Linked DNA regions of Macaca fascicularis. The protein of the gene in region 1 purifies or fractionates together with the protein of each later gene. This does not show direct contact. Links are inferred from orthologs where the notes say so. Each region holds a gene or a part of one and is shown in the gene's direction. Other genes may lie near its edges.

Region 1 (4,224 bases):
AGCTCAAGGAGATGACTTACATTCCAAAAATCCTTCTTATATTATCTATGCATTTTAATGTATATTTTTGTCTTTCAATTTTAGGTATTGTGAAGGTTTTAAAGTAATCTAGCCTGCTATATTACCGTTAAAGTTGTCATAAATGATAATTTGTAAAATTTTACATCATTTTGCAGAATTAATATTTAGAAAAACAAACAATAGGAAGTCCAGTGAGGAAGGACTTGCAGTACTCTAGGTATAAAGTGGTTAGACTATTGGTAGAAGTAAGAATGGAGAAAAAAACTGGACTACCTGAATATCTTGAAGGAAGAAAAGATAGAATTTTGTAACACTTTAGTAAGAGGGCATGATACAGAGGAAGGAATTAAAATTAGCTTCAAATTTTCTTCCCTGGCAGAATAAAGAATGACTATAACATCTACAGAAATAGTGTTGTAGCTGGTGTGAATGGGTGGGAAGATAAAAATATATTTTGTTGGGTAAGGACTGTATTTCTATATTTAATATACCATGCAGTGCCTTAACATGGTGTTTTACACATAACGGATAATCAATAATTGCATCAACGTACTGCATTTGAAAAAAGCAGCAGAGCAACTACATGCACGTCTCGAGGCAATTGAGAAAACAGGACTAGAAGACAGTGAATAAGTGACAAGATTATAGGTGAGGAGGGGGAGTGGAGATGCTTTCTTTGCATCCCTAGAACTTGGTTTGGTGTTTGGCACACAGCCAGCCCTCAATTCACATTTATCAAATAAATGAACCTAAATCATTTGCATAGACGTAATAGCTGAACTCATGGGAATAGATCTTAAACCAGAGAACATTCAGTTATAAAAGAATCCTTCTTTCCTATGCCCTGCACTGCTCACAATTGCCTGCCTCAGAAGAAGCAATTCTAAACATACCTTGAGTTAGGGATAATTGGTGGAGTTGGAATTTCAGGAACTGTTTGTTGTTGTTGTTGTTTGTTTGTTTTGGTTGGGGAGAGGTGTATTCTAGATCTAAGACATCAAAGTGACAGACTTGCCACCTTCAAGGTAGATATTAATTATATCCATTTTGTACACGGGTCAGATTATCTCCACAAATTAGAGCTTGTAAGTGCCGTCAGTGCAATCCAGGCCGCCAAATAGAAACCTCCCTTATTAGCTAGGACTGGACTGCTCTGTAGCATTGGATAACAGGTTCTCGGATTCCCCTCCGTCCTTTCAAGCTGACCTGACAGCCCTTTCTATTCCCATCCTCAAGGGGGCGGTGACTACGGAGCCACTCCTTATTCACGGACGCTCAAATGTGCACCAAAACTTCCCTGCTCCGCTCCCCGGTGCGTCAAACTCGGAGGCCAGCGCCTCAGACTGAGCCTGCGCATATAAATGGTGCAGAGCAAGCGCATGCGTCCTGACGGCCCGGCATAGGCGACTCTGGGCGGGTCTGGGCCGCTCCAGTGTTTTGGGGCCCAGAAGCTGTGGGAGGAGCTGGAGGCTTCACCGTGGTAACCAAAGCGCCGCTGCTGCCCCGCCTTGCAGGCCTCAGGACTGTCATCACCTCTGGGTGTGAGGGTACTTTGGTCACCGTCCCCGGAAATAGCCGCGCCTGCCTCTCAGACACCCCATCCTCCCCACGCCGCTACCGCTGCCGCCATGCAAGGGGAGGACGCCAGATACCTCAAAAGGTGACGACTCCCCAAAGCTCTGTCCTACCCTCCTTGCCAGGGCCCTGAAGATGGTCTTGGGTTGGCTGTGAGATGTCACTGGGCAACGCTAGTTTAGAAGAGGGGATGGGAAGCAGGGAGAGAAGTCACCGAAAGGAGAGGGAAAAGGTGAAGCGGGGAAAAAAAGGAGAGAGTTCTGGGGGGTTTCAAGGTCCTCTGATCTGACTTGGCGGAGCCCTGACAGCATTGAAAGATGGCTTCTTCGCTGCATCACCTTATTCCAGGAGGAGAGGGAGGTGTAGGGCAAGGTAAACCGCGTCTGTCTTTGTTTTTTTTCCCCCTCTTCCCAGACTCTCCATTTTCCCATAATAGATAAAGCCCATGAGAGCCTGGGAATGAAATCTGGTGCATCCGCCCTCGGGCCTCAGTTTGGGGTTCACTGCCATGGGGTTTTGAAATGATGAAGGAGAAGGAAGTCGTGGATTCTACCTTTTGGAAGGCTGGATTGAGATGTTGATTTCTAGTCTCTTTCTGCTTTCCTCATCCATGTCATCCATTTGACTGCCATATATTCAACATAATTTTTGTAGGACATTTCGTAATTATCAAGAGGTTTGTTCAGAAGCTTGATGACAATAAAATAGACCATCATTTCTTTTAAATATTTATAGTATCAATTACTCAAAAAATTGTAGTCTGTTGGGATTATTTGGCTGCTGGCAAATACTCAGATCATTCCTGATTGAAAAAAAAAAGATACCTCCCACTGGACCAAGAGTAAGCAGTGATCCAATAGAAAAAAATTTTAATTCAGTACTGATTCAGTAAATACCCTGGAAAAGTCACATGTATTCCTTCCTTTGGGCACAGTTTCCTCATCTGAAAATGGGACAGGTATTAACTTCTGAGAGATACGAGGACGAAAGATGAAAATACTTTTAAAAAATGAAACATGAATGTAAGGTGGTGGTATTATTTGAAGTCATAATTCACTTGTACTGAATATTTTTATTCTGGCTTGGCTGAGCTCTCATCATCACAGAAAGATCTTCCAAGTGTTAGTAGACTCATAAAAGGGATTCAAACAATTTTTTAATAAATAATCAACTATATTGTCCTTGCAAGACAGGCATGTATTGCCTGTCTTTATCATTTTATATAAATATATCTGAAACTGGCAAATAGCCGGACTTTATAAGTAAAAATTTTTAAATGAATATATAAGCTTACATCAGTGTTTATTTCCTCACTGAATTTTACTTAACGTTGGTTTTTAAAATACCTTTGTTAAAAATTTTGTGACACAAGAAAATAAATTGTCTTTTAACTTTAAATTCAAAATTGTTCTGGAACAAAGAGCCGCTGTTATACCATTAGCTGATTTTCATGTAATATATTTGTGTCAGAGGTAGTTATTCTTAACATTATGGTACTAGTATGGACACTCAGGCATACTGTGACTTATAATTCTCAACGCATTGTTTGCTTTTAAACACATACTATCTAGAGTTCCAAAATTAAAACTGAACCAGTCAATGAAATGTTTGAAGTAAAATGAGATTAGAATCTGGAATGGTTGAAAAATGCTTTTCTCAATTTCATCTAATTTTTACTATAAATAAGAAAAAGTTTGAATCGTCTGCTTTCAGACTAGAAATATATAGGAGACATGTATTCATACAGGCCTGATGGAAAATATTTATGATGTCCAATAGAACCTTCCATTTTAATTATTGTTTTTTGACCATGATTACATATATTCTTTAACAATATTTTTACTTTTATATTTTGTTTTTCACAAGACAGCAGATAGCAGTATATTTTCCATCCCTTCCTACCTGAATAATTCCATATTCTGGTCTTACAAAAATAATTTTTTTTGGATCCCTATGTGTTTTGGTGTTTGATTCTTACATGCCCTTCCCTTTTTCTGGAACTTGTCCTGTTCTTTGCCCAGCTAATTCCTCATCTTTCGTGTTTTGATATAAATACTACTTTTTCCAGAAGGCTTTCCTGAACTTCCCTTTCCCCCCTCACAATCCAGGTCAGGTATACCTGTTAGGGTCTCATGATACTTAATACCTTGTTTTTCTCTAATCTTACTACTTTATATTTCCTTCCGGTTTATAAACTTCATAAAGGTAAGGTGCTATGTCTATCTTACTTCCCATTGTGTCCCCAGCACTCAGCAAGGTGCCTGAAACATAGATTATTAAGTAAAGTCAGAGTAAGACTAGAAAGAAATGTGGGCCAAATCATATGGGGCTTATGAGCTTTAGTAAAGAGTTGAGAGTTTATTATGAGTGCATTGGGGAACTACTGAAGTATATTAAAAGTGAACAACATTTGTTCATTCATTCAATAGTTGAGATTCTACTATGTAAAAGTCATTGAGCCAAGTGATAAAACATATTTGGCAAATTAAACAAGTATATTCCCTGCCTTCATGGCATTTACACTCTAGCAAGTAATACAGACTTTAAAACATACTGATATTTATTGTATTTATACATGCTATATGAAAAAAAGTATGTGGGCTTTTGTGTCAAGCTTTTCTCACATAG
Region 2 (3,562 bases), on another chromosome or scaffold:
TGGGCCATGGGCCATGGTGAAGCCAGGTCCCGACACAGGGAGAGTGAGCCAGTCCCCTGAGCGTTCTTGGCCCTCCTGGGTATGCTCTGCTCCTTTGAGCCACACTGTCTGTCCTTGGCCTAGAAACGTCGTGAACGGGAGATGCAGCAGGAGATGATGCTCCGGGATGAGGAGACCATGGAGCTCCGGGGCACCTACACGTCCCTGCAGCAGGAGGTGGAGGTCAAAACCAAGAAACTCAAGAAGGTGAGACACTGCAGTAGGACCAGTCAAGGTGTGCTGGAGGCCCAGCAGTCTCTGCCCAAGGGTGTCTGCTTCAGGGACTCCTCCCCATTTGGCTGGAACTGTTGAACCCTTGAGTGACATGGCTTGGGCCTCGGGAGTGAATAGCAGGGGGAGGCAGGAGGCGGGGGCTGGGGGTGGAGTAGAGCCTTTTCTCCTGGGCCAGGGTGGGCTGTGACAGGCTGCAAACTCTGTCACTTGCAGTATCCAGGGTTACCATCCTTATGGTCCTGGGTGATTTCCCCATTCAGTGTCAGCAGTGAGTCACAGTTGGGATAGCTGGGCCTGGAGCAGGGCCAGGGGAATACAGAGAGGCTGAGGAGGAGACTGGAACCCCAGGAAGCTCCGGCGGGGAGCATAAGGCCCTCAAGGACATGTCAAGGGATGAGAATAGCCGCTCACCAGGACCCTGCAAAGCCCGTAGCAAGGGAAAGACATGTACATGTGAGGAGGGTCTAGGGCAGGAAGCAGCAGAGCTCCAGCTTGGATTCTGGGAGAAACCTGGAGACCCTTTGGGGTGGCTGATGTGACTGCCCTGGGGCAGGCCCGACAGAGGCACTGCCACTGAAGCAGTTACCATGGACCCAGCCCTCAGCGGCTTTGGAGAGCAGCAGGATGGCCATGCTGCCTCCACACCCCACTTTTGAGAGCCCCTGAAGAGACTGGAGTGGGAGGAGTTACCTTCCAAACTCTTTCAGGCTTCATGCTCCCTGAGCCGGGTCTCCAAATGAGCCCTTGATCTCCAAATGGGCCCTGAGTCCCAGTTCCGGCTCTTCTATTTGCTGGTTGTGTGACCTTGAGCAAGGCTGTGCCTGGCTTCCTCATCTGTGAAAGGACGGTATTGGATCAAAAGGTCCCTGGGGTCCCCTCCCGTTTGAACACTCCACGATGCTGATAGCAGCGAGAAAGAGCAGGCAATGGCCACAGGCCTCAGTGTAGGAGGACAGGGCACCCCTTTAAATAGCCCAGCCCAATTCGTGGTGGGTTGGGCACAGCAGGGAGTAAAGAAAAGGACCCCCAGCCTCATCGTGGGCTGAGTCGGTAGACTCTGAGCCTGCAGCCCTGCGGCCCAGGCTGAGTGACTGGGGCCTCGTTGCTACACCAAGCAGCCTCTGAGTGGCACCTGTCCCCATCCAGCTCTACGCCAAGCTGCAGGCGGTGAAGGCGGAGATCCAGGACCAGCATGATGAGTACATCCGCGTGCGGCAGGACCTGGAGGAGGCGCAGAACGAGCAGACCCGCGAACTCAAGCTCAAGTAGGGCCCGCAGCTCTTTTGCTCCCGGGTCCCACAGCCAGCCATCATTACTCAGGCCTCTCCTTCCCGAAGGCCGCATCCTGACTGTCTCCTCTCCCATGAGTCCCTTAGGAACAAAATGCGTCTGAGGGCTGAGGGATGGGCCCACGTGCTGGAGTTTCTTCTACCTCCCTGCCTGTATTTTATGAACCCCTCAAAACGGACGCTAAGTGCTGGCCAAAATTAACTCTGAAGGCCCTGAGGCTACCATCTTTGCATAAGAAGCAGTGATTTTAAATTTTTTAAAAATTATTTTTAGGGCCGGGTGCAGTGGCTCACGCCTATAATCCCAGCACTTTGGGAGGCCGAGGCGGGTGGATCACCTGAGGTCAGGAGTTTGAGACCAGCCTGACCAACATGGTGAAACCCCGTCTCTATTAAAAATATAAAAATTAGCTGGGCATGGTGGCAGGCGCCTGTAATCCCAGCTACTCGGGAGGCTGAGGCAGAATTGCTTGAACCTGGGAGGTGGAGGTGGCAGTGAGCCAAGATCACGCCACTGCACTCCAGCCTGGGTGACAGAGCGAGACAACATCTCAAAAAAAAAAAAAAAAAAAAAAGGTGGCTCATGCCTGTAATCCCAGCACTTTGGGAGGCCGAGGCGGGCGGATCACGAGGTCAGATCGAGACCATCCTGGCTAACACGGAGAAACCCCGCTTCTACTAAAAATATAAAAAATTAGCCAGGCGTGGTGGCGGGCCCCTGTAGTCCCAGCTACTTGGGAGGCTGAGGCAGGAGAATGATGTAATCCTGGGAGGCAGAGCTTGCAGTGAGCTGAGATGGAGCCACTGCACTCCAGCTTGGGCAACATAGCGAGACTCCATCTCAAAAAAAAAAATTATTTTTAAATCTGTTTTAAAAATTATTTAAAAAATGTATATAGTGTATGTATATAGTATGCATATATAGTAGGTATATATATTAATATTTGTGGGATACATTAGATTTTTTGGTTTTGAAGATGGAATATTGCTGTGTCATCCACCCTGGAGTGACCTCAAACTCCTGACCTCAGGTGATCCGCCCACCTCGGCCTCCCAAAGGGCTGGGATTACAAGCGCGAGCCACTGCACCTGGCCACATGAGATGTTTGGATACAGGCGTGCAATGTGAACTAAGCAGATCATGGAGAATGGGGTATCCATCGCCTCAAACATTTATCCTTCAAGTTACAAACAATCCAGTTACACTCTTTAAGTTATTTTAAAATATACAATTGGCTCGGGTGGTGGCTCATACCTGTAATCCCAGCACTTTGGGAGGCCAAGGCGGGGGGATCCCCTGAGGTCAGGAGTTTGAGACCAGCCTGGTCAACGTGGTGAAACCCTGTCTCTACTAAAAATGCAAAAATTAGCCGGCTATGGTGGCGTGTGCCTGTAATCCCAGCTACTCGGGAGGCTGAGGCAGGAGAATCACTTGAACCCCGGAGGTAGAGGTTCCAGTGAGCTGAGATCACACCATTGCACTCCAGCCTGGGCAACAAGTAGAAAACTGTCTCAAAAAAAATATATATATATATACACACACATACACACACATATATATACACACATGTATGTACACACATATATACACACATATATACACATATATATACAATTAAGTTATTGACTATAGTCACCCTATTATGCTGTCAAATAATAGTGTTTATTCATTTTTCTATTTTTGTGTACCTATTAGAAGCAGTCATTTTTCAAGCTGCAGTATTTCTGTAGGGATCCTTTCTGCTTAACTTCTTGATTTTCCCACCTCCACATTGCCTCTGCTTCTTTTTTTTTAAATAAATAAATAAATTAATTAATTAACTTAGTTTTTTGAGACGAAGTCTCGCTCTGTCACCCAGGCTGGAGTGCAGTGGTGCCATCTCGGCTCACTGCAAGCTCCGCCTCCTGGGTTCACTCCATTCTCCTGCCTCAGCCTCCCGAGTAGCTTGGGACTAAAGGCGCCCGCCACCTCGCCCGGCTAATTTTTTTTTTTTTGTATT
Region 3 (4,197 bases), on another chromosome or scaffold:
ATTTAATTGGCCAGAACCTGGTCTGAACTGTAAGGAAGGCTGGGAAATACTGTCTAGCTCTGTGTCCAGCAGCAAGAAGAAATAACGTTTTTGAGAGGAAGTAGCAATATCTGCCACAACAGGCAAAAAAGTAGGGGTGGGCAGGTGAAGAAGAGCATCTCAGCTATTCATTTATTCAAGGAGCAACACATATTTATTGAGTACCTACTATTGACTAAGCTTGGTTCCAGGCTTGGTGGATACAAGAGTGAACAAATAAAAGACTGCTCTTATGCAGTTTCTATTTAGTGGGGAACAGCAGGTGTAAATTCCATGGGGGATGGAACCTGCCCTTCTAGGCCAGTGTGGCTGGAATAGAGTTTTAACAATTTTTGCAGGAAGTAATAAGGACTTCACATTTGATTCTAAGAGCAATGAGGCTCTATTAAATCGAGTATTAACCAGGAAGTGGCATGATCTGTTGTATTTATTTATTTATTTATTTATTTTAATGTTTTATATTTGAGGCAGAGTTCTGCTCTTGTTGCCCAGGCTGGAGTGCAGTGGCGCCATCTCTCTCACTGCAACCTCCGCCTCCCGGGTTCAAGCGATTCTCCTGCCTCAGCCTCCTGAGTAGCTGGGACTACAGGCATATGCCACCACACCTGGCTAATTTTTTTTAAATTTTTATTAGAGAGGAGGTTTCGCCATGTTGACCAGGCTGGTCTCGAACTCTTGACCTAAGGTGATTCACCTGCCTCGGCCTCCCAAAGTGCTGGGATTACAGGCGTGAGTCACTGCACCTGGCCGCATGATTTGTTTTAAATAATTACTCTGGCCACCTTATGGAAAATGAATTGTCCGGGCAGAGCTGGACGAAAGAATGGAAACAGAGAGAGAGACCAGATATTTCAGGCAGGCTAGAGATGAGCGTGGTCTGGCCTTGCCTGGTGCGGTTGTGAGTGATTAGATTGGGTGAAGTACAAGAAAGATACAACAAGGATGCCTGTAGGTGTTTGTATTGAGTCACTGGGGGCACCCTAAGTGGGAGTTATCTCGGTAGGACTTTGAGACACCAGTCAGATAATGGATGTGAAAGCTTTTAGGAAAGGTTGAATGGCGGCTGAAATAGCGTATGTTCCATTTTACAGATGGGAAACTGAGGCACGAGATACCAGAGGATGGAGTTAGGCCACGTTGTGCGCCACTCTACCCGCTTAGGTGGGTGAGGAGATGAAGGTGTGTTGGGCCCCGCTAAGCTCCAGCACCGAGCTGAGCCCCGCCCGGACCCCGCCAGCTGGCTTTCCCTGTCCGTTGCTCGTGTGCCAATAAAGTTATTGAAATTGACACTGGTTGCTAAGGAAGTGGGTCGCTGAGCCAGGTTGCTAAGGAAGTGAGCGGCCACTGTCTCTCCCCATCCGGGGCAGCGGGGAATGGCTGAGCCAGGGGTTCGCCGCCCCCGCCGCCGCCGCCGCCGCCGCCGCCGCCGCCGCCCGCTTTCGGCTCGGGCCGCAGGTGAGTCGGAGGGGCCGGGCGCCCGCCGAGCAGGGCTTATCCTGTGGCCGCCTGGGATTTTCCCTGCGACCCGCGCCCGCGCCTCCGCCTGGCTTTGCTGTCCCGCGAGCCGGAGCATCCTCTGCCCTGCCTCTCGGGCATCCTCTGGTCGTCCGGACGGCCTTGCCCCTCCTTCCCCGGGCGAGGTCGCGGCCCGACCCCCAGACACGGCCACCCTGGGTCGCAACCCACCTGGGGGCCCTGGAGCGGTGGTCAGGGCCCCAGTTTGGGACGAGGGCGGGGAAGCGAGAGCCTGGGGTCCGAACCACTGCGCTGTCCCGGGTTTGCTGTGTGACCTTGGGCAAGTCTTTTCCCCTCGCTGGCCTTAATTGACCTGTTTATTCAAAGGGGTGCTAACACTTGCTGCTCTGAGTGGTTAAGGTGATGAGACGTGTGTGTGAAAGTGCCCCAAATGGGGAGAGGGAGAATTTTTAGGGCACCCTAGCATGGGAGACCAAGAGGGCAGTTTGAAGTCTGAGTGAGTTAGAGACGTGGCATTTCCACTTAGTAATTGTGTGGCCCTGGGCAAGTTAATTTCTTTGAGTCTAGTTTTTCTTATCTGTGAAACGGTATAATAGACTACTGTGGAAATCAACGAGACTGGGTATGTCAAGTAGCTTGGCACATAGTAAGTGCTCAACTAGCTATTATGAGGCGTCTAGGGGAGGAGGGCAAGACTCCCAGGAGGAGATGACTTTGGGACAGGTAAGGTGTAGGTGTGTAGAGTGCCAGCCCATATGGGTAGTCCTACTGCAATGCCAACTCCCAACCCCAGTTTTACTTCTCCATTCTGCTCAGAGCAAGGGAGGTAGTGGACTTCTACAAGTAGTCCAAACTCTTTGAGGTCAATCCTTTGTAGATAGCTGGGGTCATGGTCTCATTTTCTACTTGGGCTTCGTTGATCCTTCCAGAAGAAAAAAGGCATCTTTGTGTCCTTTGGGAAGTGCTTACAGCAGTAATAACTACAAGCATATGATTAAGAAGCACTTTACCAGGCATATTGTTTCATTTAATCCTTACGTAGACTTTGCCAGGTACCTGGTGATACCATCCTCATTTTGCCAATAAGGAAACTGAGCTTCAGAAAAGCGAAGGTAAGGACCTGGTTAAGAATCTTTTTTTCTTTTCTTTTTTTTTTTTTGAGATAGAGTCTCAGTCTGTTGCCCAGGCTGGAGTGCAGTGGCACGATCTCAGCTCACTGCAACCTCCTCCTGGGTTCAAACGATTATTCTGCCTCGGCCTCCCGAGTAGCTGGGACTACAGATGTTCACCACCTTGCCCACTAATTTTTGTAGTTTTAGTAGAGACAAGGTTTTGCCATGTTGGCCAGGCTGGTCTCGAACTCCTGGCCTCAAGTGATACGCTTGCCTCAGCCTCCCAAAGTGCTGGGATTATATGCATGAGCCACCACACCCAGCCATTGCCTAAGAATTTTGTATCTATTGAGTGATGGAAGTGGAGGTGTTTCTAGGTAAATCCTGTATTTTATCCCCCATTCACTGTTGCCTCTGATTTTGCAACAGTTGCTATTATAAGGCCACAGGGGTATTCTTTTTTCTTTTGTTACTTTTAACTGACTGGAAGCTAAAAGGCAAGGAAACAAGATCTCAGGTAAAGCTTTATTTAAAGAGATACCATCCAAAGTGAGGATCTCAGAAAAGAGTTGGAATCTTTTTTTTTTTTTTTTTTTTTTGAGGTGGAGTTTTGCTGTTGTTGCCCAGGCGGGAGTGCAATGGCGCCATCTCGGCTCGCTGCAACCTCTGCCTCCCTGGTTCAAGCAATTCTCCTGCCTCAGCCTCCCAAGTAGCTGGGATTACAGGCATGTGCCACCACGCCCGGCTAATTTTGTATTTTTAGTAGAGACGGGGTTTCTCCACGCTGGTCAGACTGGTCTCAAACTCCTGACCTCAGGTGATTGCCTGTCTTGGCCTCCTAAAGTACTGGGATTACAGGCGTGAGCCACCGCGCCCAACCTGAGAGTTGGAATCTTTAAAAAAGGGCTTCTCTGTCCCTCATTCTCTCCTTGTTAAAATGAGGGGACTAGGCTAGATTATACTGAAGGCCCTTTCAGTGCTGTTTTGCAGTTGTGGTTAAAAGCCTGCAATCAGACTACCTGGGCTAAAATCTTGACTCTGCTACTTCCAAGCTGTGCGCTACTGAGCAAAGAGGTGCTACTTTACCTCTGAAATGATGGTCAATACCTCTGAAATGATGAGATGACTTTTTGGTAACGGGTCCTGTGAGGAAGAATTATTCGTAGTTCATTTTGAACCCCTTGGTGGTGTAGTTCCCTCATCTGTGAAATGGGGATAGTAATAGTACGTATCATGCATGTCTGTTCTGAGGATTTATTTGAACTTAATATATGTAAAGTGCCCAGCATATTTGATAAACATTAGCTATTGTTATTTGGGCTTAATGTGGTACTTGTACTGTATTTTCCATTTATGGCTGGTGAATGATTAAATTAAAGTATGTGATAATACCAGGTCTGTCAACCATAATGTCATTGCAAGCATGAAACAGTAGCCATCATGGCATTATATAAATGTTGATATTTTTATATGGTTGCCCCAGGAACCTGTAATCCTGTGCCACGATGGGTTGCAAAGAAAGGTGAAAGCTGGCTGGGCGTGGTGACTCATGCCTGTAATCCCAGCACTT
Region 4 (4,064 bases), on another chromosome or scaffold:
CGCCATTACTTTATCTGTAAAATAATAATAAATAGTATCTATTTCAAAAGGTTATTGTGTGGATTAAATGAATTTAAAAAAGAAAGCATGTAGAACAGTACACTGGCACTATGTAAAATGCCTTATCATTATTTTCCTCAGTTCCTACTGCAAGCTCACAGCCCTTGCATGCTAAGATGGAAGCACGACGGGAATGTTGGATGATACAAGGAGGCCAGGTGGGGCTGGTGCAGAAGAAGCAAGAGGGAGGATTGTAGGGCTTGTGGCTTTAGCTTTGTAAGATGGGAAATCAATGGAGGGTTTTGAGCAGAGAAAAGAGAAGATCTGATTCATGTTTTAGCACCAGCACTCTGGCTCTTGTCCAGCACACTGAAAGGGGACAAGGACACAATCAAGGAAACCAGTTCTAAGCGACTGTAGTAATGCATGTGAGAGACGATGGTGGTGGGAGAAGTGGCCAAATGGTTCCACTACGAAGACAGATACAACAGGCTGTATTTAAAGATACACTATTCATACACATGAAAGAGCTTGCAGTTTTGACCTGAGCAGTTGTCGGAATTAAGCTCCCACATATTGAGACGAAGGAAGTCTGGGAAGAATGAGAGGGAGCCCTTTTTAATTTTTTAATGGGGGTGGAGTGGGGTAGTGGGGCGACTGATGGGGGATCAAGATTTCAATTCTGGACATGAATAACTTGAAATACCCATTACACATTCAAGTGGACTGGAAAGAGGATGGACGGATCATTGGTTCTTTGACCAACACGTATAAAAATCCCACTCTGTGCCAGGCTCTGTGTAGGCTCTGGAGATACGTGTGAAAATACTAAACCACCTCCTTAAGAGCTCACTTTCTAATGGTAAGACCGGTCATGAGGAAGTTAGCAATCAAGCGAGGTCAGGTAGGTGAGGTCTTTAACTCTTCGGATGAGAGAAAATGTGCAATTGCTATTACTGATTTTAACATTCCGGGTATTGCAAGGACCAGCAGACGGGCCTAAGAGCTGCTACTCCTCCCAACCCGGGGCTGCCAGGTTATCTCCGCCTCAGTGCGGGCCACATTTCTAGCGCAGCAGAATGGCAGCATTGCGCACGCGCGGCCTCTGTCTGGAGTCCTAGGAGATGGACTCGGAAAGCCTCCGCGCAGGCGTAATTCAAGGGCCATGAGAGTCTGAGACTGGGCTTGGGGCGGGGCGAGCTCGGAATGCGGCTGCGCACTGGGCGCTCTCGCCCGGGAAGCCGCAGTCTCGAGAGCTCTAACGAGGTGCTTCGATAGTCTCTGGCCAGCCTTTCTGCGCACCCGGTGTCGTTTCGCTGGACCCCGGGCGGGGACGTCCGCCGGGCACGGGAGGGAGCCAAGATGCCGGTGAGGAGAGTCGCTTCGCCTCTGGGGTTTCTTCTCATCCTCGCGGCCTGGCCCGGGGGCGCGGCCGTTGCCATGGAGGCGCGGAGCAGGCTGACTGCCTGGGTGGGGCGGGGCAGGCTCGGTCGTGCGGCGGAGGTGGTTGGAGAGCCTGGCTAGTCAGCCCCGGGGCCGCGGACGTCCGGCCGGCCTCGAGAGGGGCCTGGGGGCAGGCCCTGCCGCCCTCGTCGCTGCTGCGTCCCGTGGGGCCTGCGCCGCTTATCAAAAAGGCGCTGGGCTGGAGGTTGCTCTCTGGCTCGCAGCCCTGCCTGCTGAGCGGGGCGTCTGGGGGTGGCCACGGAGGGTCTCTTTGGATGCTCCACACCTCGTTAGGCCTTTGCGCCTCGGAGCAAGCTCAGGGAGGCAGCGGAGCGAAGGCTGCCTGCCCCTATTCCGAGCCCCAGACTCCGACTCTCCTAGCCTGGAGCTGTCATTTCTCTTGTGGCGCTTTAGCTTATGATGCAGAATGAAACCTGTAGGTGTCTTTGTGTGTGTGGCGGTGTTATGTTTATCTTCCAGGATTTCACAGATTGTTATCGTGAACTTAATAATGGGGCCTTGTAAGACCCCTTGTTAGGGGTCATGGAGGAAAATTGAGCCATGGCCGCTTATTTAGTGGTTGTGAAGCCTGGCATAATTATTTAATCTGTCTGGGTCCTTAGTGCCCAAGTAAACTTTACCTCATGGGGTTGTTATCCGCGTGAAATAATGCACAGGAGACTAGAAGGACAGTGCTTGACATTTAAGATTAAACGCTCTATATTTGTACCTGTTCACTGCTTTCAAGTTTTTAATTCAATAAATATTGGGCGCCAACCACGTGCTAGGCCTTGAAGATACAACATTGAGCAAAACCAGTCAGGTTCTTGAACCTGGAAAGAGAGAGGCTTGCCTTCTTGGGCAGAGGTGAAAATCATACGTATTTGCAGAAATAAGACACAAAACCTTAATGAATGAAGTGAGTGGGTGTCCTACAATAGAGAGAAGTAGATTCTGGTGAATTGGAAAGTATTGCCATGTAAGATTGATGGTCTGCAGATGATAACAGGTCATTTTTTTTTCCTCCCAAGAAGAGACTTTAGAAATCATTTTTGTGAAATTTCTTAATTTTAGCAACTAATTCAGAAGCTCTTTAAATACTATGAACCAAACAAAAGAAATTTGTGGGCTGAATTCAGCCTCTTGACTACCTGTTTGCAACCTCCAGTGTAGACAGAAAGACGTTAATCAAATAAGGAACAAGCAAAAGTAAAATTCGTGTCCAGGAAGGGGAGAGCAGGTGCTTTCTGAGCCTATAAGAGTATTTGACCTAGTCAGGAAGTCTTCCCAGGTGAAGTGGCTGTTGAGTTCTGAAGGATAAGTAGATGTTAGCTAAATGAAGAGGCCACTGAAGATGGTTCTAGGTAGAAGAAACAGCACCTGGAAAGGCCAGTGGTGAGGAGCCTGGTGACAAGAAAAGGCCAAGAAGCTCAGTGTGGCTGTGGCATGGATGAGTCAGGCAGAATATCTTGTGAAATAAGCCCAGAGAAGCAGACATGGGTGGAAGCCAGACCTTACAGTCCACCTTAAGGATTCTGGTTTTTGTCCTGAGATCTATGGGAAACCACTGAAGAATTTTTAAGTAGGAGAGTGACATGATTAGATTTGTGTTGACACTGACTGCTATTTGGAGAATAGGCAGTAGGGCAATCTAATTAGATTCAGGAATATAGTTAGGAGGCAGTAATCCAGGGCCAAGATGATGGTAATTTAGACTAGTGTGATGAAGGCAGAGATAGATAGAAGTGTATTGTACTGATATAATCTGTTACTTGTCAGTGACAATGTCAAAGTCAATGACAATGGCTTATATTTGTTTCTCTTTAATGCTTAGAAGAGAATCTGAAACAGTAGGAATTTAACAAGTATCTGTTCAACTAAACTGTCCTTTTCACTTCAATAATAGGATTGTGTTTCATTATATTTTCTTAATCATAAAATTTCAGAAATAGCTGGGTGCGGTGGGTCACGCCTGTAATCTCAGCATTTTGGGAGGCCGAGATGGGTGGATCACTTGAGGTCAGGAGTTTGAGACCAGCCTGGCCAACAAAATGAAACCTCATCTCTACTAACTAAAAATACAAAAATTAGCTGGGCATGGTGATGGACGCCTGTAATCCCAGCTACTGGGAAGGCTGAGGCAGCAGAATCGCTTGAGCCTGGGAGGCAGAGGTTGCAGTGAGCCGAGATCATGCCACTGCACTCCAGCCTGGGTGACAGAGTGAGACTCTGTCTCAAAAATAAGAAAAAAACATTCAGAAATGGAAACTTTACATGCACAAATGCTCATAAGGTTAGGTAATATAAGGCATTTTTCTTTGCCATTAGACTTTCATTTCTGTCTTTATCTTATTGTTGTCTTCTGTAGAGAAGGCATATATGGATATATTACATAATAAAAACCATTTTACAGATGCATGATAGGGGATAAAACTAAAGTCTCAGGGGGAAACAGAGGTCCTACTATATTCTTGAGTTAAAGTTGTTAACCATAGTCACATGTGTTTTTCTATAGGCAGGAAACGCTGGGTCAGAGACTTTTGTGCAGAAAGACAATCTAGAATATATTGGTTCAGTTTCTGCTTGTACAGCCTTTGCCACAAATGTAAACTAGATTTTCT

Evidence for each region.
Region 2: the proteins of KIFAP3 (region 1) and KIF3C purify together in Homo sapiens (co-immunoprecipitation; 3 studies listed by BioGRID and IntAct, counting the BioPlex papers as one, with this or other methods). This does not show direct contact. The link is inferred for Macaca fascicularis from reciprocal best matches to the Homo sapiens genes KIFAP3 and KIF3C.
Region 3: the proteins of KIFAP3 (region 1) and KIF3B purify together in Homo sapiens (co-immunoprecipitation; 7 studies listed by BioGRID and IntAct, counting the BioPlex papers as one, with this or other methods). This does not show direct contact. The link is inferred for Macaca fascicularis from reciprocal best matches to the Homo sapiens genes KIFAP3 and KIF3B.
Region 4: the proteins of KIFAP3 (region 1) and KIF3A purify together in Homo sapiens (co-immunoprecipitation; 9 studies listed by BioGRID and IntAct, counting the BioPlex papers as one, with this or other methods). This does not show direct contact. The link is inferred for Macaca fascicularis from reciprocal best matches to the Homo sapiens genes KIFAP3 and KIF3A.

The regions. Positions count from the first base shown.
Region 1 is NC_088375.1:27,702,897-27,707,120, reverse strand, and holds the start of KIFAP3 (kinesin-associated protein 3), read left to right. Parts: upstream 1-1,409; 5' UTR 1,410-1,649; coding exon 1,650-1,681; intron 1,682-4,224. UniProt on the Homo sapiens protein: Involved in tethering the chromosomes to the spindle pole and in chromosome movement. Binds to the tail domain of the KIF3A/KIF3B heterodimer to form a heterotrimeric KIF3 complex and may regulate the membrane binding of this complex.
Region 2 is NC_088387.1:96,281,398-96,284,959, forward strand, and holds part of KIF3C (kinesin-like protein KIF3C), read left to right. Parts: intron 1-123; coding exon 124-246; intron 247-1,419; coding exon 1,420-1,538; intron 1,539-3,562.
Region 3 is NC_088384.1:88,358,517-88,362,713, forward strand, and holds the start of KIF3B (kinesin-like protein KIF3B), read left to right. Parts: upstream 1-1,387; 5' UTR 1,388-1,494; intron 1,495-2,557; exon of another isoform or gene 2,558-2,627; intron 2,628-4,197. UniProt on the Homo sapiens protein: Microtubule-based molecular motor that transport intracellular cargos, such as vesicles, organelles and protein complexes. Uses ATP hydrolysis to generate force to bind and move along the microtubule. Plays a role in cilia formation.
Region 4 is NC_088380.1:139,256,510-139,260,573, reverse strand, and holds the start of KIF3A (kinesin-like protein KIF3A), read left to right. Parts: upstream 1-1,235; 5' UTR 1,236-1,362; coding exon 1,363-1,368; intron 1,369-4,064. UniProt on the Homo sapiens protein: Microtubule-based anterograde translocator for membranous organelles. Plus end-directed microtubule sliding activity in vitro. Plays a role in primary cilia formation. Plays a role in centriole cohesion and subdistal appendage organization and function.